Linked DNA regions of Anolis sagrei. The main gene of each other region encodes a partner of the protein of the gene in region 4 in a complex. Links are inferred from orthologs where the notes say so. Each region holds a gene or a part of one and is shown on either strand. Other genes may lie near its edges. The genes, in order: CHCHD6, CHCHD3, MICOS13 and APOO.

Evidence for each region.
Region 1: APOO (region 4) and CHCHD6 share a complex: the UniProt entries of both Homo sapiens proteins name them as parts of the mitochondrial contact site and cristae organizing system (MICOS) complex. The link is inferred for Anolis sagrei from reciprocal best matches to the Homo sapiens genes APOO and CHCHD6.
Region 2: APOO (region 4) and CHCHD3 share a complex: the UniProt entries of both Homo sapiens proteins name them as parts of the mitochondrial contact site and cristae organizing system (MICOS) complex. The link is inferred for Anolis sagrei from reciprocal best matches to the Homo sapiens genes APOO and CHCHD3.
Region 3: APOO (region 4) and MICOS13 share a complex: the UniProt entries of both Homo sapiens proteins name them as parts of the mitochondrial contact site and cristae organizing system (MICOS) complex. The link is inferred for Anolis sagrei from reciprocal best matches to the Homo sapiens genes APOO and MICOS13.

What each region holds. Positions count from the first base shown.
Region 1 is NC_090022.1:54,978,342-54,985,341, reverse strand, and holds the start of CHCHD6 (MICOS complex subunit MIC25), read left to right. Parts: upstream 1-3,994; 5' UTR 3,995-4,093; coding exon 4,094-4,183; intron 4,184-7,000. UniProt on the Homo sapiens protein: Component of the MICOS complex, a large protein complex of the mitochondrial inner membrane that plays crucial roles in the maintenance of crista junctions, inner membrane architecture, and formation of contact sites to the outer membrane.
Region 2 is NC_090025.1:192,696,857-192,704,072, forward strand, and holds the start of CHCHD3 (MICOS complex subunit MIC19), read right to left. Parts: upstream 3,019-7,216; 5' UTR 2,940-3,018; coding exon 2,856-2,939; intron 1-2,855. UniProt on the Homo sapiens protein: Component of the MICOS complex, a large protein complex of the mitochondrial inner membrane that plays crucial roles in the maintenance of crista junctions, inner membrane architecture, and formation of contact sites to the outer membrane.
Region 3 is NC_090034.1:54,660,520-54,667,846, forward strand, and holds the start of MICOS13 (MICOS complex subunit MIC13), read left to right. Parts: upstream 1-4,320; 5' UTR 4,321-4,396; coding exon 4,397-4,425; intron 4,426-7,327. Other genes in the region: hydroxysteroid 11-beta-dehydrogenase 1-like protein, read right to left, coding at 1-85, 357-450, 601-692, 877-988, 2,222-2,352, 2,723-2,807. UniProt on the Homo sapiens protein: Component of the MICOS complex, a large protein complex of the mitochondrial inner membrane that plays crucial roles in the maintenance of crista junctions, inner membrane architecture, and formation of contact sites to the outer membrane.
Region 4 is NC_090023.1:86,752,114-86,758,940, forward strand, and holds the start of APOO (MICOS complex subunit MIC26), read left to right. Parts: upstream 1-3,800; 5' UTR 3,801-3,871; coding exon 3,872-3,940; intron 3,941-6,827. Other genes in the region: C3HXorf58 (uncharacterized protein CXorf58 homolog), read right to left, coding at 1-80, 268-362, 1,728-1,827, 3,616-3,686. UniProt on the Homo sapiens protein: Component of the MICOS complex, a large protein complex of the mitochondrial inner membrane that plays crucial roles in the maintenance of crista junctions, inner membrane architecture, and formation of contact sites to the outer membrane.

The DNA.
Region 1 (7,000 bases), on a different chromosome or scaffold from region 4:
TCTCCTGGTAGAGACTTTCGTTTATGTGCATCCGTTTATTTAGTGGTAGAAGCTTTGCAGTAATTAAATGATTATATATTGTGAGAAAGCAAGGAACTGCTTCAATTCTTCCTATCTACTAGATTTTAGAATGCTGAAGGGAAATTATGGAGAACTGCAATGGCAGAATAGTAGAATTGTAGAGTTGGGACGACCCGCAAAGTTTAGTGTGAAATCTTGAATTTTACTCACAAAGAACCCCTATTTTGTGCACTTTTACAGCATGTGTTTGTTCTAGAGTTGTTAGGCCAAGACTATCCCAAGTTCTGAGACTTCAGGGTCTAAACTTGAGTCCTAGGGCTGATCCCTTGGTGATGTGATTAAACTTAAGCATCAGATACAGTGTACAGCATTCAAATTCTAACAAAATTTAAACATTGAAAAACTGTGCACACACACACTCTTTGAAGGCAACCTTCTCACCCTAAGATTCATCACCCTTACCCTGAAAACTAGAGGATGGTCTAGGCCAGGCGTTCCCAAACTAAGGCCACAGACTGGACGCAGCCCTCCAAGGTAATTTACTGGCTCCCACCCTAAACGACTTGAAGACACACAACAACAATTCTAATTAACTTTGAGTCCTCTTGGACAACAAGTTAAACATGAGCCTACAATGTGATGCAGCAGCAGCAGCAGCCAAAAAAAAAAAAAAAAAAGCCAATGGGATTTTGGCCTGCATCAATAGGAGTATAGTGTCTAGATCCAGGGAAGTCATGCTACCCCTCTATTCTGCCTTGGTCAGGCCACACCTGGAATACTGTGTCCAATTCTGGGCACTGCAGTTTAAAGGAGATGTTGACAAGCTGAAATGTGTCCATAGGAGGGAAACTAAAATGATCAAGGGTCTGGAGAACAACCCCTATGAGGAGCGGCTTAAAGAGCTGGGCATGTGTAGTCTGCAGAAGAGAAGGCTGAGAGGGCCATGTATAAATATGTCAGGGGAAGTCATAGGGAGGAGGGAGCAAGCTCGTTTCCTGCTGCCCTTGCAAGTAGGACACGGAACAATGGCTTCAAACTATAGGAAAGGAGATTCCACCTGAACATTAGGAAGAACTTCTTGATTGTGAGAGTTGTTCATCACTGGAACTCTCTGCCCCAGAGTGTGATGAGGGCTCCTTTTTTGGAGGCTTTTAAGCAGAAGCTGGATGGCCATCTGTCGGGAGTGCTTTGATTAGACCACACCTCGAATGTTGTGTCCAATTATGGGCAACACAATTGAAGAGAGATATTGACAAGCTAGAACGTGTCCAGAGGAGGGCGACTAAAATGATCAAGGGTCTGAAGAACAATCCCTATGAGGAGCGGCTTAAAGAGCTAGGCATGTTTAGCCTGAAGAAGAGAAGGCTAAGAGGAGACATGATACCCATGTATAAATACGTGAGAGGAAGTCACAGGAAGGAGGGAGCAAATTTGTTTTCTGCTGCCCTAGAGACTAGAACACGGAACAATGGCTTCAAACTACAATAAAGGAGATTCCATCTGAACATGAGGAAAGTGTGAGAGTCATTCAGCAGTGGAACTCTCTGCCCCGGAGTGTGATGGAGGCTCCTTCTTTGGAAGCTTTTAAACAGAGGCTGGATGGCCATCTATCGGGGGTGGTTAGAATGCGACTTTCCTACTTTTTGGCAGGGGGTTGGACTGGATAGCCCACAAGGTCTCATCCAACTCTATGATTCTATGAGGTGTTTTTGAGTTGGGGAAAGGAAACCTTAAGCCCCCCTTGAGCTAAGAGAACTGTTTCACAATTCATTGGCCTGAGTTTTCAGGCAACTCACTCCTTGCTTTGCTTCTGTGTTTATACAGTGGACATTCAGAAAATAATTTCACTATATTATTTCACGGGATTGTGGCGCAGCTGGCTGAGTGTCAGCTGCATTAAGATCACTCTGACCAAAAGGTCATGAGTTCGAAGCCAGCCCGGGCTGGAGTGGGTGTCCAGCCATTGTGTAGCCCGTTGTCGACCTTTGCAACCCGAAAGACAGTTGCATCTGTCAAGTAGGAAAATAAGGGACCACCTTGTGTGGGAGGCTAAATTTAACTAATTTATGAGGCCATAAAGAAAGAAGACTCCGGGGAATGCGGAATGCGGAAGAACTTCATCGGTGTCGTTGATGGACGATGAAAAGCAGCAGCTCCCCTGGCGGCCAGAAAAAAGTTAAATAGCCTTGGTGTATTTGTGTGTTAAATGTTGTTTGTCAAACTGGCATTGAATGTTTGCCATATATGTGTTGACTGTAATCCGCCCTGAGTCCCCTGCGGGGTGAGAAGGGCGGAATATAAGAACTGTAAATAAATAAATAATAAATATATCCCCATGGCCTCCAAGCACACATAATTCTGTACTACAAAAGGCATGTGAAATATGTTTCAAGGTAATAAAAAGGATATGAGTGGGATCCATATTTTCTTATATATGGCAAAAAATCTATTAACATCAAAAGATCTATTCGAAATTTGACTAGTTCTGAGCCAAGCCCTCTGTTGCTTGTAAATCTATATGCTTGTTTGTTTTTCTGGCAATCAGCTTGACAAGCTTGTTTTGGCTTAGAAATGTATGATCTTTGTTAAAATGGGAGACATGATTTACCTTTGTAATTTAAACATGGGTTTTCTCTTGTTGATTTAATCCAATTCTACCTGAGAGAAATAGATAGCCCCTTTCAGTAGTCTAAATTCAAATAATTGTGTTTTATTACATTTACATGTTTTACAAACAGAGGCGGGTTTCCTTACTGTGGTTACTATGGCAATGCAGAGCAAAACCCCTTTATAGATTTTGTTTTAAAATCCTTCCTAAGCCTACAATTAGCTTTTTCAAGTTTTTAAACAGATAACAACTGTTCTATTATGTTGCATGGGAGGTGGCAAGCCTTCATTACAGCATAATTGCAAAATATTTGCAGCTTGCAAGCACTTTGCATTCTGAGAGTTGACTTTTTATTAATTATATTGGTAGATACAATTATACATGGTTCTTTCCCTCTATTGCTGTCAGGAAAAAAAAGGATATTTGACAGGAAGCATATTATTCATGGAGCCCCCGTAGCACAGTGGGTTAAACCACTGAGTTGCTAAACTTGTTGACCAAATGGTCGCAGGTTAGAATGATCTGCGACTAAAATGATCAAGGGTCTGGAGAACAAGCCCTTTGAGGAGCGGCTTAAAGAGCTGGGCATGTTTAGAATGAAGAAGAGACGGCTGAGAGGAGATATGATAGCCATGTATAAGTATGTGAGAGGAAGTCATAGGGAGGAGGGAGCAAGCTTGTTTTCTGCTGCCCTGGAGACGAGGACGCTGGAGAAAGGAGATTCCATGAAAGGAGACTAGGACTTGGTGCAATGGCTTCAAACTACAAGAAAGGAGATTCCATCTGAACATGAGGAAGAACTTCCTGACTGTGAGAGCTGTTCATCAGTGGAACTCTCTGCCCCTGAGTGTGGTGGAGGCTCCTTCTTTGGAGGCTTTTAAACAGAGGCTGGATGGCCTTCTGTCGGGGGTGCTTTGAATGCGATTTTCCTGCTTCTTGGCGGGGGTTGGACTGGATGGCCCATGAGGTCTCTTCCAACTCTAGGATTCTATGATTCTAAACAAATGCCATGTCCCAACGAGGATGTATTGCTTTCCTTTCTCACGCTAAAATGTATGAAAACCGACCATTATGAAGCGACTCCAATGGGGAGAGTTTGTTGAGAGTCTCAAACTATCTGGCCAGCCTCAGCTTTGCGGCAAATGGATATGTAAACCGTATGATGCTTAAAAGAGGCGCAGCGGGCTGCCCAGAGCCATTGCCGCGCCACCGCTTCTGCGCGCCCTTCCGGGCAAATGTGGTCCTTCTTGGAGCATCCTTGACAGCGGCGGAGGGGTGAGAAAGACTACATCTCCCAGCGTGCCTCGCGGCCGGCTTCCAACACCGCGCCGCGCGATTGGGCGCTTCTTTAGCGGTGGCCAATCGGGGGAGGCTTTGTAGGCCGGTGGAGAAGAGCGTGGTGTCTTTGAGTTTGTGTGGACGGACTGGGCTTTTCTCCTCTTCTGCCTCTGCGGTGCCGGCGTGATGGGCGGCAGCGGGAGCAGCCAGGGCAGGAGGAAGGTCTCCTTCGAGCTGGACGAGGAGGACCGCGTGCGGGTCTTGCAGGGCATCCGGGTGAGTGAGGGAGGGAGAGGGCTTCCTTGCCTGCCTGCTGACCTGACGCCTTACCTGGGCCAACTTGGGCCCTCCAGGTGTTTAGGACTTCAACTCCCACCATTCCTCACAGCCTCAGGCCCTTTCCTTTCCCCCCTCAGCCGCTTAAGCTGAGGGGGGAAAGGAAAGGGCCCGAGGCTGTGAGGAATGGTGGGAGTTGAAGTCCCAAACACCTGGAGGGCCCAAGTTGGGCCAAGCTTCTCTACACTGTAGAATTAATGCAGTTCTGCACCACTTTAACTCCCAAGGTTCAATGCTGTGGAGCCCTGGGAGATGTAGTTTGGCAGGGTCTTTAGCCTCCCTTGCCAAAGCGTCCTGGTGCCTCGCCACACTTACTCACTCACTTAGACAATCCCTCATACCTTGAGGATGATGGTCCTCCAGATGTGGTGTCTTGGTTGTTGGGTCTGTAGGTGGCTGTGGAGCCCTATTCTTGATTCGCATCTTCTCCCGCAGTTTCGCCCTCCGTTCGTGCCGCTTCGAATTCCGCAGCACTGCTGGTCACAGCTGACCTCCAGTTAGAGCGCTCCAGGGCTTTCCAATTCTCGGTGTCTATGCCCCAGTTTTTAAGGTTGGCTTTAAGCCCTTCTTTACATTTCTTTCTCACCACTACAACTCCAGTGGTTCCATGCCATTGAGCCAAGGCAATTAAAGCGTCTAATCCAGGCATGACCACCTGCTGCAATGCACCCTGAGCCCTGCTACATGCACAATGGAGGACCTCCTTGCAGCAACACCAGAGGCACTCCAAGTCGCCAGATACTGGTCAAAGGACATTTAATCAACTATCAAGCTTGCAAACTTTGTGTTTTCTCTGTTTGTTTGTTTTGTTAAAAAATGTAATACAAATGTCTGGTTGCTCCTGATACGATAAATAAAATGGACAAATTTGGGCCCTCCAGGTGTTTTGGGCTTCAACTCCTGCAATTCCTGTTGAAAATGTCAACCTTCTTTAATCTTCCACTAGTAATTTGTTTTGTATATGATTTATTTATTTAGTACATTTCTATACTGCCCCTCTCTCAGCCTTCCGGTGACTCGAGGCGGTTTACAAAGCAAGAGTTCAATGCCTCCAAGGACACGATTACAATATACAATATAAAAACATTATATCAAACATTATAATAAAACATAATTCAATCGATAATCCTTAAAACAATGTCCAGTTCCGCCATATAGTTATTCCATTATTTTCAAATGCCAGCTCAAAAAGCCATGTCTTAAGATGCTTTCGGAATGATAGGAGCGAAAAAGCCGATCTAATCTTCCTAGGAAGGGCGTTCCATAGCCGTTCCATCCTGTGATAATGCGGCATGTCTCATTAACAAATGTGGATCAAGAATAGGGCTCCACAGCCACCTACGGACCCACCACCAAGACATCACATCTGGAGGACCATCATTCTCGACGTACGTGGGATCGCCTAAGTAAGTAAGTGTGGTGAGGTACCAGGACTCTTTGGCAAGAGAGGCTAAAAACCCTGCCAAACTACATCTCCCAGGGCTCCACAGCATTGAGCTTTGGGAGTTAAAGTGGTGCTGAACTGCATTAATTCTACCTGGGCCAATTTGGGCCTTCAAGGTGTTTTGGACTTCAGCTCCCATCATTCCTCACAGCCTCAGGCCCCTTCCTTTTGCTTACTGTATTGTGTGCGCGCGCATGTATATGTGTGTGTTTTGGTATGCAGCTTTCCCTTTACTCTATGTTCCTTGAAGTTGTGGGTGGGGCTGCAGGCCACATGATTGGATCAGGGACTACCCTAAGGTCAGATTCCATTTTAGAACATAGAGAGGCCATGAAACTTTGAACTGTTAAGAGCAAACTAATGTTGCTTTTGATTCTAAGAAAGATGCCCTGTGTTATCAGCACAGAGAAACCAATTCAAAACCTATCTGTATGTAACTGGATTACAATTGGATTACGTACCAGTATGTAACTGGTACAAGTTAATGTACCAGTATGCTGAATATATGAAGATTATAAGTAAACCAAATATGTTACTTTTGACAAAGTCTACTTTATTTTTGTCTCTTGAGAGCATGATATAGAAACAAGATGTTTCGTGGGAGAATAGATATTCTTGGGCACTGAAAAGAATACTTTTGAAGAACTGCTGTATTTTGTGCTTTGGCATATCTGTTTCAAACAGATCAGAGATAACCAGGTTATCAGTCCACTTGCATATGTACATGTGGTCATATACCATTGAAGAGAAGATTTTACTTAAATGAGGTTTGGGCTCTTTGGAAGATCATACTTTTACAAAAGGTTATGATTTTCAAATGGTTGTGATTACCATTTTTCTTCAAAAGGCTATGGAGATGCTGGTTTTCCAAAAGGTTATGATATCCAAAATATCATGCCTTTCCAAAAACCCCTAAGAGCCATAGGAATTGTGGGAGTTGGAGTCCAAAACTCCTGGAGGGCTAATACAACATCCTGCCACTCATACACACACTGCTTTAAACTGCCATAGCTCCATCCTACAGGATTTTAGGATTTGTTATTGTTTTGAGAATGGTCACCTAGAGAGTTCTAGTGCTACACAAAACTGCAAATCCTGGGATGCCATACAATGCAACTAGGCAGTAATTTGGGATTGTGTGGTTTAGGGATTACTTTGGCTGCAGGACACCTGCCTGTAGTGCTTGGATCCTCGTGTTTGATCAGAAGAATCCCTCAGCCCTCGTTTTCCTCAGTATTGTGTAGCATCTTCCTTCTGTGATCTACTTAACAATAAGGACTTAGGGCCTTCCGAATATGACAATTAGGACAATA
Region 2 (7,216 bases), on a different chromosome or scaffold from region 4:
ACTAGAGACAAAGTTGAAGTACTTTGGCCACATCATGAGGAGACAGCAAAGCCTAGAGAAGACAATTATGCTGGGGAAAGTGGAAGGCAAAAGGAAAGGGGAACGCCCAAGGGCAAGATGGATGGATGGCATCCTTGAAGTGACTGGACTGACCTTGAAGGAGCTGGGGGTGGTGATGGCCGACAGGGAGCTCTGGCGTGGGCTGGTCCATGAGGTCACGAAGAGTCGGAGACGACTGAACGAATGAACAACAACATCATCAACCAGTTCTGGATAGGGTTTCACTCCCTCTGAAAGACTATGTTTGTAGTCTGGGAATACTCCTGGATCCATCTCTACAAGCAGACAGATGTGATGGATGATACACTAGCTGTGTACCTTCCAAGATTTGGAGGACCTGAAAATCATGGTAACACCACGCTAAAACAGTGGATGTGGCTCTTAATGAGACATGCCGCATTATCACGGGGTGTCTGCGCCCTACACCACTGGAGAAATTACACTGTTTAGCCGGTATTGCACCACCTGACATCCCCCGGGGAGTAGAAACAAATAGTTAAAGGACCAAGGCAGTGACATCTTTGGCCCACTCCCTGTTGAGATACCAGCCAGCACACCAATGCCCTAAATCAAGAAATAGTTTTCTAAGATCTACAGCAGTGTTTCTCAACCTTCCTAATGCCGCGACCCCTTAATACACTTCCTCATGTTGTGGCAACCCCCAACCATAACATTACTTTCATTGCTGCTTCATAACTGTAATTTTGCTAATGTTATGAACTGTAATGTAAATATCCAAAATGCAAGATGTATTTTCATTCACTGGACCAAATTTGGCACAAATACCCAAAATACCCAAATTTGAATACTACTGGGATTCGGCAAGGGATTGATTATGTCATTTGGGAGTTGCAGTTACTTTCATTCCTAGTTCACCTACAATCAAAGAGCATTCTGAATTCCACCAAACTTGAACCAAACTTGGCACACAGAACTCTCATGATCAACAGAAAATACTGGAAAGGTTTGATGGGCATTGACCTTGAGTTTTGGAGTTGTAGTTCACTTGCATCCAGAGAGCACTGGGGACTCAAACAATGATGGAACTGGACCAAACTTGGCAAGGATACTCAATATGCCCAAATGTGAACACTGGTGGCATTTGGGGAAAATAGACATTGACAGTTGGGAGTTGTAGTTGCTGGGATTTATAGTTCGCCTACAGTCAAAGAGCATTCTGAACCCCACCAATGATAGAATTGGCCCAAACTTCCCATGCAGAACCCCCATGACCAACAGAAAATACTGTGTTTTCTGATGGTCTTTGGCGACCCCTCTGACACCCTCTTGCGACCCCCTCTGGGGTCCCGACCCCCAGGTTGACAACCACTGATCTACAGAGATATTCGCAGGAAAACCTCAGCAAGCAAGTCCAAAAGTGGCAGGCTAAAACCTGGAACCTCAAACCATGGCCGATATCAAATGAGAGACTCCCTTCTGGCCACACAGAAGAGTGGGCGACTTGGAAGGCGCTGAACAGAGTGCGCTCTGGCATGGCGAGATGCAGAGCCAACCATAAGAAATGGGGCCAGAAAGTGGAGTCCACGACATGCGAGTGTGGAGAAGAGCAAACCACTGACCACCTGCTGCAATGCGACCTGAGCCCTGCGACATGCACAATGGAGGACCTTCTTGCAGCAACACCAGAGGCACCCCAAGTGGCCAGCAATTGGTCAAAAGACATTTAATAGTATACCAAGTCTGCAAATTTTGTGTTTTGTTTGTTTGTTTGTTTTAATGCAAAAAATGTGTCCAGAGGAGGGCGACTAAAATGATCAAGGGTCTGGAGAACAAGCCCTATGAGGAGCGGCTTAAGGAGCTGGGCATGTTTAGCCTGAAGAAGAGAAGGCTGAGAGGAGATATGATAGCCATGTATAAATATGTGAGAAGAAGCCACAGGGAGGAGGGAGCAAGCTTGTTTTCTGCTTCCCTGGAGACTAGGACGCAGTGGAACAATAGCTTCAAACTACAAGAGAGGAGATTCCATCTGAACATGAGGAAGAACTTCCTGACTGTGAGAGCCGTTCAGCAGTGGAACTCTCTGCCCCGGAGGATGGTGGAGGCTCCTTCTTTGGAAGCTTTTAAACAGGGGCTGGATGGCCATCTGTCAGGGGTGATTTGAATGCAATGTTCCTGCTTCTTGGCAGAATGGGGTTGGACTGGATGGCCCATGAGGTTTCTTTCAACTCCTTGATTCTATGATTCTATGATTCTACAGGGCAGCAGAAAACAAGCTTGCTCCCTCCGCCTTATGACTTTCCCTGACATATTTCGACTGTTTGAAGTTTGGGAGCACTCCTGGATATCCCTCCAAATATCAGGCCAGGCAGATGCAATGGCTGATACGCGATAGCTGCGTCCCTTCCTAGATTTGGAAGACCCAAAGATAGTGGTAACCTCAAGGTTGGACTTCTGCAATGCGCTTATTGGACAGGTGGCAAGCTCTTTAACCTCAGCTGCCCAAAAACCAAAACCAAGGTCACAACAACATCTGTTATAGAACTCCAATATGCTGATGATAATGTGGTGTGTGCTCAATCAGAAGATACACAGACCTCTCTAAACGAAAATCTTGGCCTCACACTGCAGCCAAAGTACTCTTTCAGCATAGGTTGTTAGGAACTGTGGGAGTTAAAGTCCAAAACACCTGGAGGGAAGGCCCAAGTTGGACCCTGCCTGTTCTCCATGCTTGACCCCTCTGAGGTCAACAGGGGCCTACTCTTTTTCCTCTCCTCTTCCTCCTCTGAGGCCTAGCTCACTCAGCTTAAGTCCAGCCAACCCGTCTTCCCTCTCACCCGGACGCCCTTGACCACCGTGATGTTCTCGTTCTCGTCCGCCTCGAAGGTGACCCTCCTTGGGGCGCTGCCTCCGCCGCCCATCCCGCTCCAGGCTCGCTCACCACCAGACTAGGCCGCAAAAGCCTCCCTGGAGGTGCCCTATAAGACGCCACGCCCACACCCGTCGCCCATTGGCCATCCCCCTCTTACGTCCCGCCTCCGCCGCTCTCCGATTGGTGGGGAGAACGGTTGCCCTGAGCAACGGGCCCTGCCCCGGCCTGACCAAGTGACAGGCGGCGTGGAAACTTTTTCTCTTTCCCTCTTCTCTCTCAAAGAGCATGGGAACTGCCTCTCCCAGCGTGCAACGCGGCAAGAATTGGTTACAAATGCCCGCCGCTTGTCGCAATGCACGCTGGGAAATGTAGTTAATAGAGCAGTGTTAGCATTCTGGGGCCATAATGAAGCATTTAGCCTTACTTGAAGTGTCATTGCACATTATTACAAAGTTTTGAGACTTTTGGGAATTGTGAAATATCTAATCCTTCTCTGCCACAAGGAACTATAAATCCCAGAATTGTATATCCTTGGCCCAATTGGTGCAAAACAGGCCTATTGTTATATTATCATTGGTAATAATAATAATTAATTATTAATAATAATACCATATATATATATATATATATATATATATATTAATAATAATAATACCAATGATAATATAACAATAGGGCTGAGGTTTTTCGGGCTTACTTTACTTACTTACTTACTTAGGCGATCCCTCGTTGGACAAGTAAGATGGTCTTCCATTATGGATTTCCTTGTGGGTCCGTATGTGGCTGTGGAGCCCTATTCTTGCTCTACATCTTCTTCCGCAGTGGGGGCATTGGTTTCCAGGTGGAAGGCGGTCCTGGTCGGGGTTGGCTTGACGCGCTTTCCTCCTGGCACGTTTCTCTCTTTCACCCTCCACTCGTGCCTCCTCAAATTCTGCAGCACTGCTGGTCACAGCTGTCCTCCAGCTGGAGCGCTCAAGGGCCAGGGCTTCCCAGTTCTCAGTGTCTATGCCAGAGTTTTTAAGGTTGGCTTTGAGGCCATCTTTAAATCTCTTTTCCTGTCCACCAACATTCCATTTTCCGTTCTTGAGTTCAGAGTAGAGCAACTGCTTTGGGAGACGGTGGTCAGGCATCCGGACAACGTGGCCGGCCCAGCGGAGTTGATGTTGGAGGACCATCGCTTCAGTGCTGGTGGTCTTTGCTTCTTCCAGCACACTGACGTTTGTCCGCTTGTCTTCCCAGGAGATTTGCAGGATTTTCCGGAGGCAGCGCTGGTGGAAACGTTCCAGGAGCTGCATGTGACGTCTGTAGACAGTCCACGTCTCACAGGCATAGAGCAGGGTTGGGAGGACAATAGCTTTATAAACAAGCACCTTGGTCTCCCTACGGATGTCCCGGTCCTCAAACACTCTCTGCTTCATTCTGGAAAATGCTGCACTTGCAGAGCTCAGGCGGTGTTGTATTTCAGCGTCGATGTTGACTTTGGTGGAGAGGTGGCTGCCAAGGTAGCGGAAATGGTCCACATTTTCTAATTTTACGCTATTAAGCTGTATTACTGGCATTGGAGAGGGATGGGCTGGTGACTGCTGGAACAGCACCTTGGTTTTCTCAATGTTCAGTGACAGGCCGAGCTTCTCATATGCTTCTGCGAAGGTGTTTAGAGTGGCTTGTAGATCTTCTGAATGCGCACAGACGACATTGTCGTCAGCATACTGGAGTTCTATAACAGCTGTTGTTGTAACCTTGGTTTTGGCTTTCAGTCTGCTGAGGTTGAATAGCTTGCCATCTGTCCGATAGATTATTTCCACTCCGGGCTACAACAATATATTAATAATACTATATTAATAATAAAAATGATATATTATTAATAATTATTATTTTTATTATTATTAGTGTATTATTAATAATGTTATCAATAATATAATATTATTATTAACAACATCAAATCATCCCCTGGGCAACATCCTTACAGACGGCCAATTCTCTCACACCAGAAGCGACTTGCAGTTTCTCAAGTCGCTCCTGACACGACAAAAAAAATCAACAATATAATAATAACATATTATTATTACTAATAATGACATATTATTATTAATAACAATATACTATTTTACATGATGATATATTATTATTATTATTCATGATTATGATGGCACACCAGGAAGATCTAAGGAGAAACTAAATGTGTCTGGCTATTTTCCCAGTGACCATCGGTATGCCCTAAATTACTATAATTCCCCCAAAATAAAACTCTACAAACAAGATTAAGTTCAACAATTGTTTACTAAATAATCAAGGTATAAAAGTACAGTTTGATTAGTGAAATATAAACTCTGATGTAACAACTACTATAATTTCTATAACTATAAGCTATGGGGAATGTATGACTATAACTATTCTATGAGGTAAATATAACTACTCTAAAATCTATAAACTTTGGCAAATATTATCTATTCTTTATTACAAATACTCTAAGGCAAATATATATTATCTATGATCTATCTATCTATAACTATCTATCTATAAGCTTTGGCAAATACTATCTATTCTATGGCAAATATAACTATTCTATGAAATGTGTTATCTATGAACTCTCTATCTATAGGGCAAATATATATTATCTATGATCTATCTATCTATAACTATCTATCTATAAGCTTTGGCAAATACTATCTATTCTATGGCAAATATAACTATTCTATGAAACGTGTTATCTATGAACTCTCTATCTATAGGGCAAATATATATTATCTATGAACTACCTATCTATAACTATCTATCTATAAGCTTTGGCAAATTCTATCTATTCTATGGCAAATATAACTATTCTATGAAACGTGTTATCTATGAACTCTCTATCTATAGGGCAAATATATATTATCTATGAACTACCTATCTATAACTATCTATCTATAAGCTTTGGCAAATACTATCTATTCTATGCCAATATAACTATTCTATGAAACGTGTTATCTATGAACTCTCTATCTATAGGGCAAATATATATTATCTATGAACTACCTATCTATTACTATCTATCTATAATGTTTGGCAAATTCTATCTATTCTATGGCAAATATAACTATTCTATGAAACGTGTTATCTATGAACTCTCTATCTATAGGGCAAATATATATTATCTATGAACTACCTATCTATAACTATCTATCTATAAGCTTTGGCAAATACTATCTATTCTATGGCAAATATAACTATTCTATGAAACGTGTTATCTATGAACTCTCTATCTATAGGGCAAATATATATTATCTATGAACTATCTATAACTATCTATCTATAAGCTTTGGCAAATTCTATCTATTCTATGGGAAATATAACTATTCTATGAAACGTGTTATCTATGAACTCTCTATCTATAGGGCAAATATATATTATCTATGAACTATCTATAACTATCTATCTATAAGCTTTGGCAAATTCTATCTATTCTATGGGAAATATAACTATTCTATGAAACGTGTTATCTATGAACTCTCTATCTATAGGGCAAATATATATTATCTATGAACTACCTATCTATAACTATCTATCTATAAGCTTTGGCAAATACTATCTATTCTATGGCAAATATAACTATTCTATGAAACGTGTTATCTATGAACTGTCTATCTATAGGGCAAATATATATTATCTATGAACTATCTATCTATAACTATCTATCTATAAGCTTTGGCAAATACTATCTATTCTATGGGAAATATAACTATTCTATGAAACGTGTTATCTATGAACTCTCTATCTATAGGGCAAATATATATTATCTATGAACTACCTATCTATAACTATCTATCTATAAGCTTTGGCAAATTCTATCTATTCTATGCCAATATAACTATTCTATGAAACGTGTTATCTATGAACTCTCTATCTATAGGGCAAATATATATTATCTATGAACTACCTATCTATAACTATCTATCTATAAGCTTTGGCAAATTCTATCTATTCTATGCCAATATAACTATTCTATGAAACGTGTTATCTATGAACTCTCTATCTATAGGGCAAATATATATTATCTATGAACTACCTATCTATAACTATCTATCTATAAGCTTTGGCAAATACTATCTATTCTATGGCAAATATAACTATTCTATGAAACGTGTTATCTATGAACTGTCTATCTATAGGGCAAATATATATTATCTATGAACTATCTATAACTATCTATCTATAAGCTTTGGCAAATACTATCTATTCTATGGGAAATATAACTATTCTATGAAACGTGTTATCTATGAACTCTCTATCTATAGGGCAAATATATATTATCTATGAACTACCTATCTATAACTATCTATCTAT
Region 3 (7,327 bases), on a different chromosome or scaffold from region 4:
AGTTCGTGGCGCAAGGAGCCAAAGAAGCCCTCCAGGGCAAACTTGGTGGCCGAGTAAGGAGCCACGAAGGGGGTGGACACTCTTCCTGAGAGGGAAAAAATACTAAATACTGCATCAAAGTGGAGGAGGTTATTCTTTGTGCTTTGCTTAGAAGAATAACCTAGTGAAGCGATTAAGGAAGGATGAGAGAAGGGGACAGGAGAGCCATGTCTCCATCTTTGAAGGAAGGAAGGAAGGAAGGAAGGAAGGAAGGAAGGAAGTCCCATGGAGGAGGACGGGACAAGCCTTGTTTCCTTGCATTGGCTAATTGGTGGCCGGTCTCTGGGAGCAGTAGTTTCCCAAGGGCACTCACTCACCTGTCAGGGAAGAGACCACCACTAGTGAACCCTTGCTCTCTGCCAAGGGAGGGAGAGCCACCGAGGCGAGGGCCACATAGCTGAAGAAGTTCACCTGGAAGGGAGAGGAATATTAATATTAATAATAATATTAGTAATAATAATAATTGTAATAATAATTCTGTTGGGTGGATTTGGATTGTGCCTTCCAGAAGGGGGATGGACTGGATGGCCTTTGGAGGGCCCTCCCAAATCCCAGCCGCACCTGCATGAGCCAACGCAGATGGTCCATGTCTCCAGCCCACATCTCAAAAGGGCTCGATCCGTCATGGTTGAGGACCACAAAATCCAGGCCCCCTAAAAAAAGAAGGATGGGAAAGAAAAGCAGATTTGTCATTGGCAGAAAGCGATGAAAAAACAGGTCCAACTTGTTATCCCAATTCATCCATACAGTGTGAACCTAAGGGTTAGTTAGAATCGCGTAGAAGTACTGCACTTTGACATCACTTGGGAGTTGTAGTTTTGGGGTTTGAGGACCCACCGAGTTCCTCCAAGGCAAAATGGACCAGCTTTTCTGGCTCTGCGGAAGAAGCCATATCTGCGACGAAGTAGACGGCCTTCTTGGCTCCCAGCTCCAGGCATTTGGCCATCACCTGGACAAAAGCAAAAGGAACAACCACCATTTATGGACTTCTTCAACCGGGAGAAATCCAGCCATGTGCGATAGGGATGGTTCCTAGTACAATTGGTTCGCTGTACCATCCATGGCTTGAAAGTATTTCTGAAAAACCCCAAAATTCAACCTTAGTTTTGCCATTTTATGCGTATTGTTCACCACTGCATATAATGGGAGTTGAGCATCCATGGATTTGGGGATCCACGAGGGTCCTAATACCCAATGCAAACAGATATTGGTATCCATGGGGGTCCTGGAATTGGATCCAATCAGGTATTGGTATCCATAGGGGCCCTAGGACCTAACCCAACCAGAGACTGGTATTTATGGGGGTCCTGGAATCAGACCCAATCAGGTATTGGTATCCATAGGAACCCTAGAACACAACCCAACCAGATATTGGTATTCCTGGGAACCCTAGAACCCAATCCAACCGGATATCAATAGCCACAGGGACCTAGAACCCAACTCAAATAGACTTTGGTATCTATTGGAGCTCTAGAACCCAACCCAACTGTCACACAGCAGGGCTGGAAAGGCGCCTTTAAACCAATCTCACACCCCAGAGCTCAGTTATAAGCAAAGCAGTTTCTTAAGGTATAAATGTAGCTTCAGCAAAAATGATAAGAAGTCAATACAAAATATAATCCATGTAACACAAGGCACTTAGGAAGACTTGGAAGCAATAATCCACGAGACCAGAATGTAAGCAAGATCTTTAAACTGGACTCTTGAAAGAACACAGCAACCGAGAAGATCAAAAGTACATGGCAGCTATACCCAAGATCCAAAAATACATGAATCCATGAAACCACTTGATTCTTGAAGCAATACAGGAAACCAGGAAAACACTTGATTCTTAGAACATGAGTCCATGAACCCCATCCATGAGAGGAACGAGAGAGAGGAACTTAGAGCATGTTAATTCTATCCAAACGTTGATTCCTCTAAAGGCCTTAGAACTAAGCCAACCAGACATAGGTATCCACTGGGTTCCTAGAACCCAACACGAACATTAATATCTAAGGCGGTCCTAGGACCAAACCTAACTAAACATAGGTATTCTTGGGAGTCCTCAAACCAGACGCAATCCGGTACTGGAATCCATGGGGGCCTTAGAACCAGATATTGGTATGCATGGAGGCTCTAGAACTCAACCCAAGCTCTATCTTTCCCCAATCCCAGACTTTGAATCTGGATGTGTTCTCACTTTCTGCAGCATGGCCTCCCTCCGGGCGGTGAGGACAATTTGTGCCCCGAACCGGGCGTAATGGTAGGCCATTTGTTCCCCGATCCCATCGCTGGCGCCAGTCAAGAGAACCCGGGCCCCGGAAAGGCTGTCTGGGAGAGAAAAAGAAATACGGCCAAAGGGGAAAGTAGAGTACCGTATACACTTGAGTATAAGCCAAGATTTTCAGCCCTTTTTTAGCCTGAAAATGCCCCCCATCGGCTTATACTCAAGTGGTCCTGGTGGGAAGTCATGGGATTGAAATATGCCCTTGTTTCAGCCCCACGACTTCCCGCCAAGATCCTCACCTCTTCACCCAGCAGGGTTGATACTTGTTTATATACGGTATTTTGCCTGCCAACAAGTGTCGGCCTTCATTGAGTCTTAGAGTTGGCAGGGAAACCCATGGGCTGTGCCAGGCAGGCGGGGTACACAATCCGAACCCTCCCAACAGATGGCCACCCGTTCCTCTGCAGCTCCTACCTGGCTCGAAGGTGTCTCTCCAGGAGAAGGCCACCCAAACAGCTGCGATGCCAAGGACCGAGAGCAGAAGCCCAGCGGCCCTCATCTCCCTTCTCTCCAAGTGTCACCACAAATAGATATTCAAGCCTGAAAATGATGGCAAGGGTCAGAAACGGATCAGGGGATACAAAGGGCGGGTGCCTCCCACGCCCTGCAGGCCAACGGGTGTGTTTTGAGGAGAGAGAGAGTCGCTGAACTGGGACTCAGCTCCATGGAAGACTGCCAAAAGGAGCCCCTTCCGCACTGATTGTATAATGTAGCTTGGAACTGCGTTACATGGATTGCGTAGACTCATAGAATGCAGTCTAACTGTATGATAGGAGTCAACATTGACCATACAATGCATTGAGCTGCATTATAGGACTTTACACTGACAATAGAATATACTGAACTACATTATAGGAATCTACACTGGCCATATAATGCATTGAACTGCATTACTGGACTCTACGCTGATAGTAGAATGCACTGAACTACATTATAAGAATCTACTCTCATGCAGTCTAACTATGCATTATAGGGTCTACACTTACCATATAATGTATTGAACTATGTAACAGGAGACTACACTCACCACAGAATATACTGAACTGCATTATAGGACTCTACACTGACCATAGAATGTATTGAACTGTACTATAGGACTTTACATTGAACATAGAATGCATTAAGCCAGTGCTTCTCAACCTGTGGGTCCCCAGGTGTTTTGGCCTACAACTCCCAGAAATCCCAGCCAGTTTGCTAGCTGTTAGGATTTCTGGGAGTTGAAGGCCCAAACATCTGGGGACCCACAGGTTGAGAACCACTGCTTAAGCTATATTTTGGGACTCTACGCTGACCATAGAATGCATTGAGCTGCAATATAGGGTCTACACTTTGCACAGAATGCACTGAACTGTACAAGAGAGAGTACACCCACTATATAATGCATCGAACTGCATGATAGGCGTCTATATTGCATTATTTGGCAGTGTAGATTCGCCCTCAAGGCCTCAGGAAACACTTAACAGAAAACCCAAAACGCAGAAACCTGTCTATATAAGATCAACATGAACGAGTTAATCATAACGCCATATTTCTACTTTATGGTATAAAGAATTTTAAATACTTTAAAATTCAATAGCTGCACCGAAATTCTGGATTCTCCTCCTTGTTTACAAAAAGTTTAACAGAAGACTGAAAACGATGTTATCCCAGGAAGACTGGCACGACCTTAAACGTGGCACGACCTTAAGGAAGTAGGGAACAGAGTGGACAGAGTGGGGGAAAACATGATTCCGCTCGCGCATGCGCACGGCAACCTCCCTGCTCATGCGCACAACGGGCCCATTGGTTACCGTTAGAACAAGAAACATAATAAAAAGCCTTCATGTTTTGAGGGAATGTTGCCTCGCCCTACACTCATTCAGTTTCATTCAATTCACATTAAGTTCAATTTCCTATAGTTGGTGAAAAAGAAAGAAAAAGCCCCCGCCCTCCCTCTCAGGAACAATGGCGGCCTCCATTTCTCTCAACCGCGGCAGTTCCCGAAAAGTCTCGCGAGAGTAGGTCAGCCAATGGGCTTTTGCTGCAGGGGGGAAAAACCGGTGCGGGCGGGCGCTTTGCTGCCCTTGGGCCGGCGAAGGCGTTGCTGTCATGGCGTCTCGCTTCGTCCCTGTGATCAAGTGAGTCGGGAGGGCGGTTTTCTAGATTCATAATCAGGAAAGAAGGGCTCAATGCAATGGGATCTTGGCATCAGTAGTCTGGCAGGCCTTGCAAAACTACAGCACCCAAGCTTTAATGGCAAGAGGGTTGCACTAGATGGCCCTTCCAACTGTAATGCTCTGCGTTTGAAATATTGCAATCCCAAATCTCTTTGAAATAGTGGAATCCAATTCTCTTTTGGGAAACTGTTACCATTATTGCAATCTAAGGCCTCTTCTGTACTGCCATACAATCCAGATTATCAAATCCGATAATCCACATCATCTACTTTGAACTGGATTATATGAGTCTACACTGCCTGATAATCCGGTTCAAAGCAGGTAATCTGGATTTTGTATGGCAGTGTAGAAAGGGCCGAAGTCTTTGCTTTGAACTGTTTTGAAGGTTGTATTCCAAGTATCTTATTTTAGAATGCTAATAATATAATATAACATATTGTACATACATATTATATTGTATTGTCCAAGGCTTTCATGGCTGGAATCACTAGGTTCTTGTAGGTTTTTTCGGGCTATAGGGCCATGTTCTAGAGGCATTTCTCCTGACGTTTCGCCTGCATCTATGGCAAGCATCTTCAGAGGTAGTGAGGTCTGTTGGAATTAGGACAATGGGTTTATATATCTGTGGAATGGCTGGGGTGGGGCAAAGAGCTCTCTGCTGAAGCTAGGTGTGAATGTTTCAGCTGACCACCTTCATTAGCATTTGAAGGCCTGGCTGAGCCTGGGAAAATGTTCTGTTGAGAGGTATTAAGATGTGCCTGGTTGTTTCCTCTCTGCTGTTTTGCTGTTGCAATTTTGGAGTTTTTTTAATACTGGTAGCCAGATTTTGTTCATTTTCATGGTCTCCTCCTTTTTGTTGAAATTGTCCACATGCTTGTGGATTTCAATGGCTTCTCAGTGTAGTCTGACATGGTGGTTGAATCTGAAAATGAACAAAATCTGGCTACCAGTATTAAAAACTCTTTAAAAACTCATTTAAAACAGCTGGAATGTGTCCAGAGGAGGGCGACTAAAATGATCAAGGGTCTGGAGAGCAAGCCCTATGAGAAGCGGCTTAAAGAGCTGGGCATGGTTAGCCTGAAGAAGAGAAGGCTGAGAGGAGACATGATAGCCATGTATAAATATGTGAGAGGAAGTCATAGGGAGCAAGCTTGTTTTCTGCTTCCTTGGAGACTAGGACGCGGAACAATGGCTTCAAACTACAAGAAAGGAGATTCCATCTGAACATGAGAAAGAACTTCCTGACTGTGAAAGCTGTTCAGCAGTGGAACTCTCTGCCTTGGAGTGTAGTAGAGGCTCCTTCTTTGGAAGCTTTTAAACAGAGGCTGGATGGCCATCTCTCAGGGGTGCTTTGAATACAATATTCCTTCTTCTTGGCAGGGGGCTGGACTGGACTGGATGGCCCACGAGGTCTTTTCCAACTCTATGATTTTATGACATAAACACAGACTGGGCCACAGCAACCCATGGCAGGGGACAGCTAGTATTATAATATAATGTAATACAATATAGTACTAATGATAAAACAGTAGAATAATTGTATATTATATATTATATGTAATATTACTAATAATATTGCAGGGGCAGAAGTCTCTTTGTTTTGAACTGTTTTGAAGGTTGTATTCCAAGTATCGTATTTTGGAATGCTCATGAGATATGTATATATATCTATATAAATAAAAATGTAATGTTCGTTCATAATCCAAATTATCTATTTAATAATAATATTTTTTCTATACTATACCTTTGGGCCTTTCCAGACAGGCCCTTTATCCCATGATCTGATCCCAGGTTTTTGGTTTATATGAGTCTGCACTGCCAGCTAATCTCGGATAAACAGAAAACCTGGGATCAGATTCTGGGATACAGTTTTTAACTGTAGGCACTTAGGACTCTTCCGCACAGCCATATAACCTAGGATATCAAGTCAGAAAATCCCACAATATCTGCTTTGAACTGGGTTGTCTGAGCCCAGTTCTATATATTCCAGTTCAAAGCAGATAATATGGGATTTTATTTAGCTGTGTGGAAGGGACCTCAGTTAACTCTCAAGCAACAGGCAACAATGGAAAATAATATTTTAAAGAAAACATTAAAATACATGTAGAATGTTTTTGTCTTAGTTAATGTGTTATTACTAATTCATGTATACTGCATTTCAATAGGAATATCAAGTCAATACTATACAGAGTTTATCAATTGCATATTTATTTATTTACTACAATTGATCCCCCACCCTTCTCAAACCGAAGGGGACTCTGGGCGGCCTTACAACAGGTAGCAATTCAATGCCATACACATAAACAAAGACAATTAAAATCCAAGCAGTTTAAAATATGAATTAAAATCACACCATCCAAATCATAATCCAAGGCCGTTCCATTTATCTGTCACATTAATTCGTGGTCACTTATGCACTGCTCCCATTGCTGGTCAAAGGTTTGGTTCCAAAGCCATGTGTAAGTTTTTTTCATTAAGGTCAGGAGGGAGGGGGCTGACCTGATTCTATTGGGGAGTTCCATAGCCGAGGGGCCACCACTGAGCAGGCCCTGTCTCTCATCCCCACCAGTTGCGCCTGAGATGGAGGTGGGACCGAGAGCAGGGCCTCCCTGGAACATTTTAGCCTCTGTGATGGTTCATAGAGGGAGATAAATGTGGATAGGTAAGCTGGGCCAGAACTGTTAGGGCTTTATAGGCCAAAGCCAGCACTTTGAATTGTGCTCGGTAGCGAACTGGCAGCTAGTGGAGCTGACGCAGCAGCGGGGTTGTATGCTCCCTGTACCCTGCTCTGGTGAGAAATCTGGCTGCCACCCGTTGGACCACTTGAACCTTCCAAACAGTCTTCAAAGGCAACCCCACATAG
Region 4 (6,827 bases):
TCATGTACTGGTTGCCTTGGTTTCCTGGAGTGAAAAATATCTTGAACACAATAAAAGGGGGGAAAACAATCCCAGCAAATCTGAAGGGAGGAAAAACACCAAGAGGTAAGATGATAGAACAGCTTATTTTTCATATTCAACCATTTTCATTTCATTTGCATTTAAAGGATGTATTTTGCAACTGTCTTAAATATTCCATTGAAGTCTAAAGTAAAAAAGACAGCCAAAATAATTACATCTTAAAATCCAAATGCAGTGTAATGTTACCTGAATCGGACTTTATACTGAATACTGGGTTCTTTAAGAAGTTCAGCCTCTAAAGGGCTCACTCTCTTCAAAATCTCATGGCTAATGCAGTGTTCCTGAAATAAATAGTTTTTGCTCAATTAATATGTAATAAGTTTTGTTTTTATTATAATTGTTATTGTCGTATTACTAGGAAATCCAAATGCTGAGTTTTTATAGCTTTATAGCAAAATGAAGCTACTGAGATGCAGGAGAGAGGTATCAGTATGTTCAGGTTTAAAATTGCAAAACATGGAAATAATAGTCAGGGAGGAAATAATAATATTGATCTACTACCTAGAACAGGTTTTAAGATAAGCAAACCCTGCCATCTACAGATAGTTCCAACCCACTGCTACTCTCTTGAGGGTTGGAGGTTTCACTTTTGTCAGGAAAGGAAGAATATGAAAATCACAAACCCTTGCGGATGTTGGGCCGAGGAATTATGAAATAATAGCAACAGGTAGTGGAATGCTTTTTAGCTGCTTTCATTTGCACAGTATCTGTGCCCAAGTCATTCCTGCAATACGCACATTCAGGGTAGCTTAGTAAAATACATACTATTTTTTTGGTGTCAGGAGCGACTTGAGAAACTGCAAGTCGCTTCTGGTGTGAGAGAATTGTCCGTATGCATGAACGTTGCCCAGGGTATGCCCGGCTGTTTTGATGTTTTACCATCCTTATGGGAGGCTTCTCTCATATCCCCACATGGGGAGCTGGAGGTGACAGAGGGAGCTCATCCGTGCTCTCTCCGAATTCGAACCTCCGACCTGTTGGTCTTTAGACCTGCTGGCACAAGGGTTTAACCCATTGTGCCACCGGGGGCTCCTAATACACTGGGGGCTCCTACATACTATGTGGGAGTGCCTTTGAAGATGGCTTGGAAACTTCAGTTGGTGCAAACTACATCAAATCCTTTATTACTACACTAGCACCACCACTAAGAGGTTACACAATCAGACTAGGGGATACAAGTTTGGAGTTTGCACGAACTATGATATAATATTGGTATTGTGTTTTTCAGCTTGTGCTTCTCTGCCTTCCGCATAAATTCATATTTCTGGCAGTAATATGTGTTTCTGGCAGAACAGTTCTATTGCTCCTCAAAAAATTCAGGATGCAGTAGCTCTTTGGCAAACTCTTCTCTTGATCTCTGGGTTATTATTTTCTGATGCCAAAGAACAGCTACAGAATGAGCTGTCTCATGCACAGTCCCAAGTTCCAGCTACAAATTTTAGTATTCATGCATATATCATCAGACATTGAAAGCAAAAAAAACCCCAAAACACAATCTTCTATTTAGTGTAGGAGGCATTCCTGTTTCCAATCCCCAGCCTAATTTTCATGCTCAGTGCATCTGCAAAACAGGAGGCCGACTTTGAAAACAGGGAGAGGGATAAAAAGTCAGATCTAGTCAGACATCACCAAGTATAAGAACCTACTGCTGCACGAATGGTGTGTTTCAGAAGTTTAAACAGTCTTTTCCTTATGTGAGTCCACCAGAATTTCTGAATAAGATTAACTGCTTGCTCTTCTGCAATCCTGTTGAGAGGAAAGCAATGCATACATTAGATAGGTGTTGTGCTATTTGAAAAAACACATACATAACAATTACTTGAACAAAAACATTTATGTCCACAGAGATTTGTAGACTGTACTCTAGTCACAACAGAATCAGCAGTCTATTCATAAGCTTAGTGCATCTATCTTACAGAGCCCTGCTGCCTAAGACTGGATCTACTAGGCTTGTGTGCAGGTCCATTTTGGCCGGTTTCCTTCTGCCAATCCGGCTTCTTCGGCTTGGTTGGATAGCTGTAACAGAACCACATGGCAGCCGATCACAGCTCCTCCTCCTCTTTTCGGGAGCACACGGTGCGCAAAGTGGCTGCCACTGCGTGCTCCTCACACAGAGTTTTCCTGTGAGCCCTGCCTGTTGGACCAATCAGAATAGAAGAACACCATGATGTGTCTTATACAAGCTGTGTCTACTTCTTTAGTCTCGTTGCTGAAACCCAGACCCCCTTGAAGGAAAGAAAGGGTCCCAGGAATGGAAAGGAGAGCCTCATAAGTTCCCCATTGCCTCCAATGGGCTGGATCTAGCCATATTTTTCGGGTGCGGACCTAAAAAGGCTATCTGGCTACCAGCCCGTTTTCAGGAGGTGTGCAAAAATGGGTATGGGGGTCTACCGGAATCCAGCCAGCAGAAACGATTTGAGGTTCAGCTGAAATGCACAAGCCTAGGATCCATACGATTTGGAACGGCATTATATGGTCAATGTAGACACACATTAAGCAATTACATATGTCTACATTGACCATATAATGCAGTTCCAAACGACATTATATGGCAGGGTAGAACCAGCCCTAATAGCATGGCTGTGAGCTGATTATCTCTATTCCAATAGATATGTGGACTGTCGTTAAGCAAAGATGGCAGATTGAAAGTCAAAGCCCTAGTCAAAGTAGACTGATTCTGACACTTGGGACCTGTTTGATATAATTTTAAAAACTTCCCTTCTATAAACAGGAAGGATATGGAAAGGTGCTTCAAAGATATCATTGTTCCGCTTGTACATATGTTTAGAAGTAGTAGCAAATATCCCATCAACTGTACAATTATTTGAAGGCACTTTGGAACTCCATTGCCACTGCTATGAGGGTGACAAAATGGCAACTACAAGAGTTAATAACAGGCAGCAGTGAACTGGGTTTTGCTGGATGCTGAATGGATACACACAACATGCAAGTGTGGAGAGGAGCAAACCACAGACCACCTACTACAATGCAACCTGAGCCCTGCCACATGCACAATGGAGGACCTTTTCACAGCGACACCAGAGACACTCCAAGTGGCCAGCTTCTGGTCAAAGGACATTTAGTATAATGCAAAGTTTTTTAACTTTGTTTGTGTTTCTAAATGAATTTTAACTGTATCCTCAATTCACTTCTGATACGATAAATAAATGGATGTTGTGGATGGCCTCCTGCTACTTACAGTGGCATAGAGACTCTCCAGGGTAGATGATCCAGAGAGATGCCCCCTTGAAACTGCAGGGCAGATTTCTGTGATCTTATCCTTCTATTTCTTTATTGAAAGGTAGCTCACCTATGGATTTTTTTTCACCTGCATTTATACTGCTACATAAGACGTGGAGACCATCCTTAAGGTAAAGATTTCCCCTTGAGTCATGCCCGACTCCCACCATTCCTCACAGCCTCAGGCCCAAAACACCTGGAGGGCCCAAGTTGGCCCAGGCCTAATATAGATCCATCTGGGGTCCCTTCCTCTTCCTCTGCCATCCACATGGAGAAGTCAAGGGCCAGGTTTACCTCCGCCTCCGATTGCTTTCGTCTTCTTCGTCTTCTTCGTCAGGAAGCACGATCCGAACATTGCTGAACATGCCTTCGCGCCGCCGCCGCCTTGGCCTGTACCAGCGTCTTCCCCTGGTTGCCTAGACAACAGGACGCGCCACTGGGCCGGAAATGATGCCACTTCCGCCTGCGCTCTCCCCGCGGCATGTTTCGAAGGGCGCCCGTGTGGCGCCAAACATGGGCCTTCCGGGTACCCGTACGCGGCGCTTGGTGAATGACGTCATCGTCGCTGCGCCGTCATTCACCAACGGTGCTGTCATTCACTCGCGGGGATATGTTCAAGGTGAGAAAGTTTTCCCCGACGTTGTTTTGAGGGAGAGAGCGGGAACATGCATGGGATGGCTTGCTTCCCCGCGGGGAGGTTCTGGCCTTCTTCGAAAAGAGGTCGCGGCGATGTTTGGCTCTTTTTTGTAGCGTTGTCATGGAAACAGCTTAGGAAAAAGCGTGCGAGGGAGCTCCCAGTGTCTTGGAAGCGCAGAAATAGCTCATTTGGCGCGAGGAAGAAACACTTCTAAGCCCAGAGTTGAGGAACCCTTATCAGAAGTGTTTTGGATTTCGCAATATCTTTGTGTGTATGTATATGTGTGTGTGTTTTGGAAAATAGCATTCATAACCTTTTGGAAAACACCTTTTGAATGATCCTAACCTTTTAGAAAAGCACGACCTTTCAAAGACCCTTTAGAGTAGAACCTTCTCTTGTGGTATACAACCAGATATAATTACTCAAGGTAATGGTTTCAGTTGTTAGACTGAATAACCTGTTGTCTCAGATCTGTTAGGAAATCAGAGATTTGCCAGTGCATACAAAACAGCAATACTTCAGAAGTGTTTTTCATTGCCCAAAAATATATACTCTCCCATAAATGAAATTAGATCTGCCCCCTCCCTCCTGACCTTTAGGAAGCTAGTGAAAACCTGGCTTTTGCAGAATGTTGTTTGAGACCGGCAATCGACTAATGGTACTGATCACAATATATGGAATGGACATACTGATTGAGTTGGATACGATTTTATCTTGGCGAACAGCTTCTATGTAATGTTATGTAATCTTTGTAATTTTTACATGTAATTGGTAACTTAATGTTGTGTATTATGTCTAGATTTTCAGTGTTAGCATTGAATCTTTGCTGTTAGCCGGTCTGAGTCCCTCTGCAGAGGTAGAGAAGATCGGGATATAAAAGTTTTAAATAAATAAATGAATAAAACAACTTGTTTTATGTCATGCACTCGAGAGACAAAAATGAAGTACTGGGTTGTTGTAGGTTTTTCCAGCTGTATGGTCATATTCTAACGTTTTGCCTTCATCATTAAATCATGTGAAGTCTGTTGGAAACTAGGAAAATACAACCCAAAAAACCTACAACAACCCAGTAATTCCAGCCATGAAAGCTTTCAACAATACTAAAATGATGTGGACCAGGGTCCCTAAAACTAATGTCCAGGTGCCGGATGTGGCCCTCCAAGGTCATTTACTGTCCCTCGCTCAGGATCAACCTAAGTCTGAAATGACTTGAAAGCACACAATAACAACAACAATCCTATCTCATTTGCCAAAAGTAGGCCCACGCTTGTCATTGAAATACCAATAAATTTATATTTGTTAAAATTGTTCTTCATTTTAATTATTGTGTTGTTTTAAAGTGTCTTATGCAGTACAAATAAGATATGTGCAGTGTGTATAGGAATTCATTCATGTTTTTTTCAAATTATAATCTGGCCCTCCAGCAGTTTGAGGGACTGTGACCTGGCTCTCTGTTTAAAAAGCTTGAGGACTCCTGATGTGGACTTTGATTTAAAAACATATTTGGTTTACTTACAACCTTCATGTGTTCAGCATACACAGGTACAAAACTTACCAGTCTAGTTTCAGATGTGTCCCCGGCTATGGAACTCCCTCCTGGTGAGATCAGGTTGGCCCCCTCTCTCCTGTCCTTTAGAAGAATGGTAAAACCTTGGCTGTGGGACCAAGCTTTTGGGTCAGGGCAATAAAGCGGCAATAGGAAAGATGATCAGGCCAATGATTTGACACGGATGACTAGGACGGTTATAAATGGTGTATTTTAATATTTTGATAAATATTTTTAAATATTTATTTATTGTATGTCTATCTGTGTCCCGGCATTGAATGTTTGCCGTGTATATGCTGTGCTCTGACCTAAATCCCCTTCGGGGTGAGAAGGGCGGAATAGAAATGTTTTACATAAATAAATAAATAAATAAATAAATAAATAAATAGATAGATAGATAGATAGATAGATAGATAGATATTATATATAGGTATAGGTATAGATTACATATCTTGGAGATGGGGCCCAAGTCTAAACTCAAAAGTCATTCGTCTCATCATACTGTCATATAAATCATACTCTATTACAAGTTATAGCTCATGATATGAATCTTATATACATTTCTTTTAAAATTTTGTGTATGAAACAACATGTGTGTACATTGAGCCATCAGCAATCAGAGGTGCCACCCATGTGAAGAATCTAGGAGCATTTAGGATTTCTAAACATTTGTTAGGATGAATCAGAATGTCTTGTGCATTCAGACACACATCCACATGTATATAATCATTTACACACACACACACATAGTGCAATTACTGTACATACTTTATAAATAGAAGAATAGCAAAGCAGTTCTCTGCTCGCAGGCTTACAATCTTATTCAGACATGATGCAAAAAGAAAAGGGGATGGCAGTCTAGGAGGGGATAGAGGCCAGTGAAGTGGCCTTTGGGATGAAGGATTGGGCCTTACCTCTTTCTACCGCTCATGTCTTCCCACCCACTAATTCTTTCTCTTTATATAGGAGCTGGGTTTCTGAGTAAGGGGTGTTCAACCAATAACACCTTTGTTAAGGCTATATCTGAATGTCATATGGTGACTGTATATATGCACACAGATGAATATGTCCAAACAGACACACAGACAGACTCATATAATACTGACCAACACTCATTTTGCTGCCTCAAATGTTATCCGTCTTTCTGGGTATATTTGACCTGCAACTTCAAAAAACGACACCAGTTTCCTCTTACCAGTTCTGGTTTCTGAGATACAGAACATATGCCATCAACCAATTGCCATCTGCTTGCCCATAGAAAACCATAAGAACCATATTTACGAAACTAGAACTGATGTAGTCTATTCAGTGCATTTTTCTAAA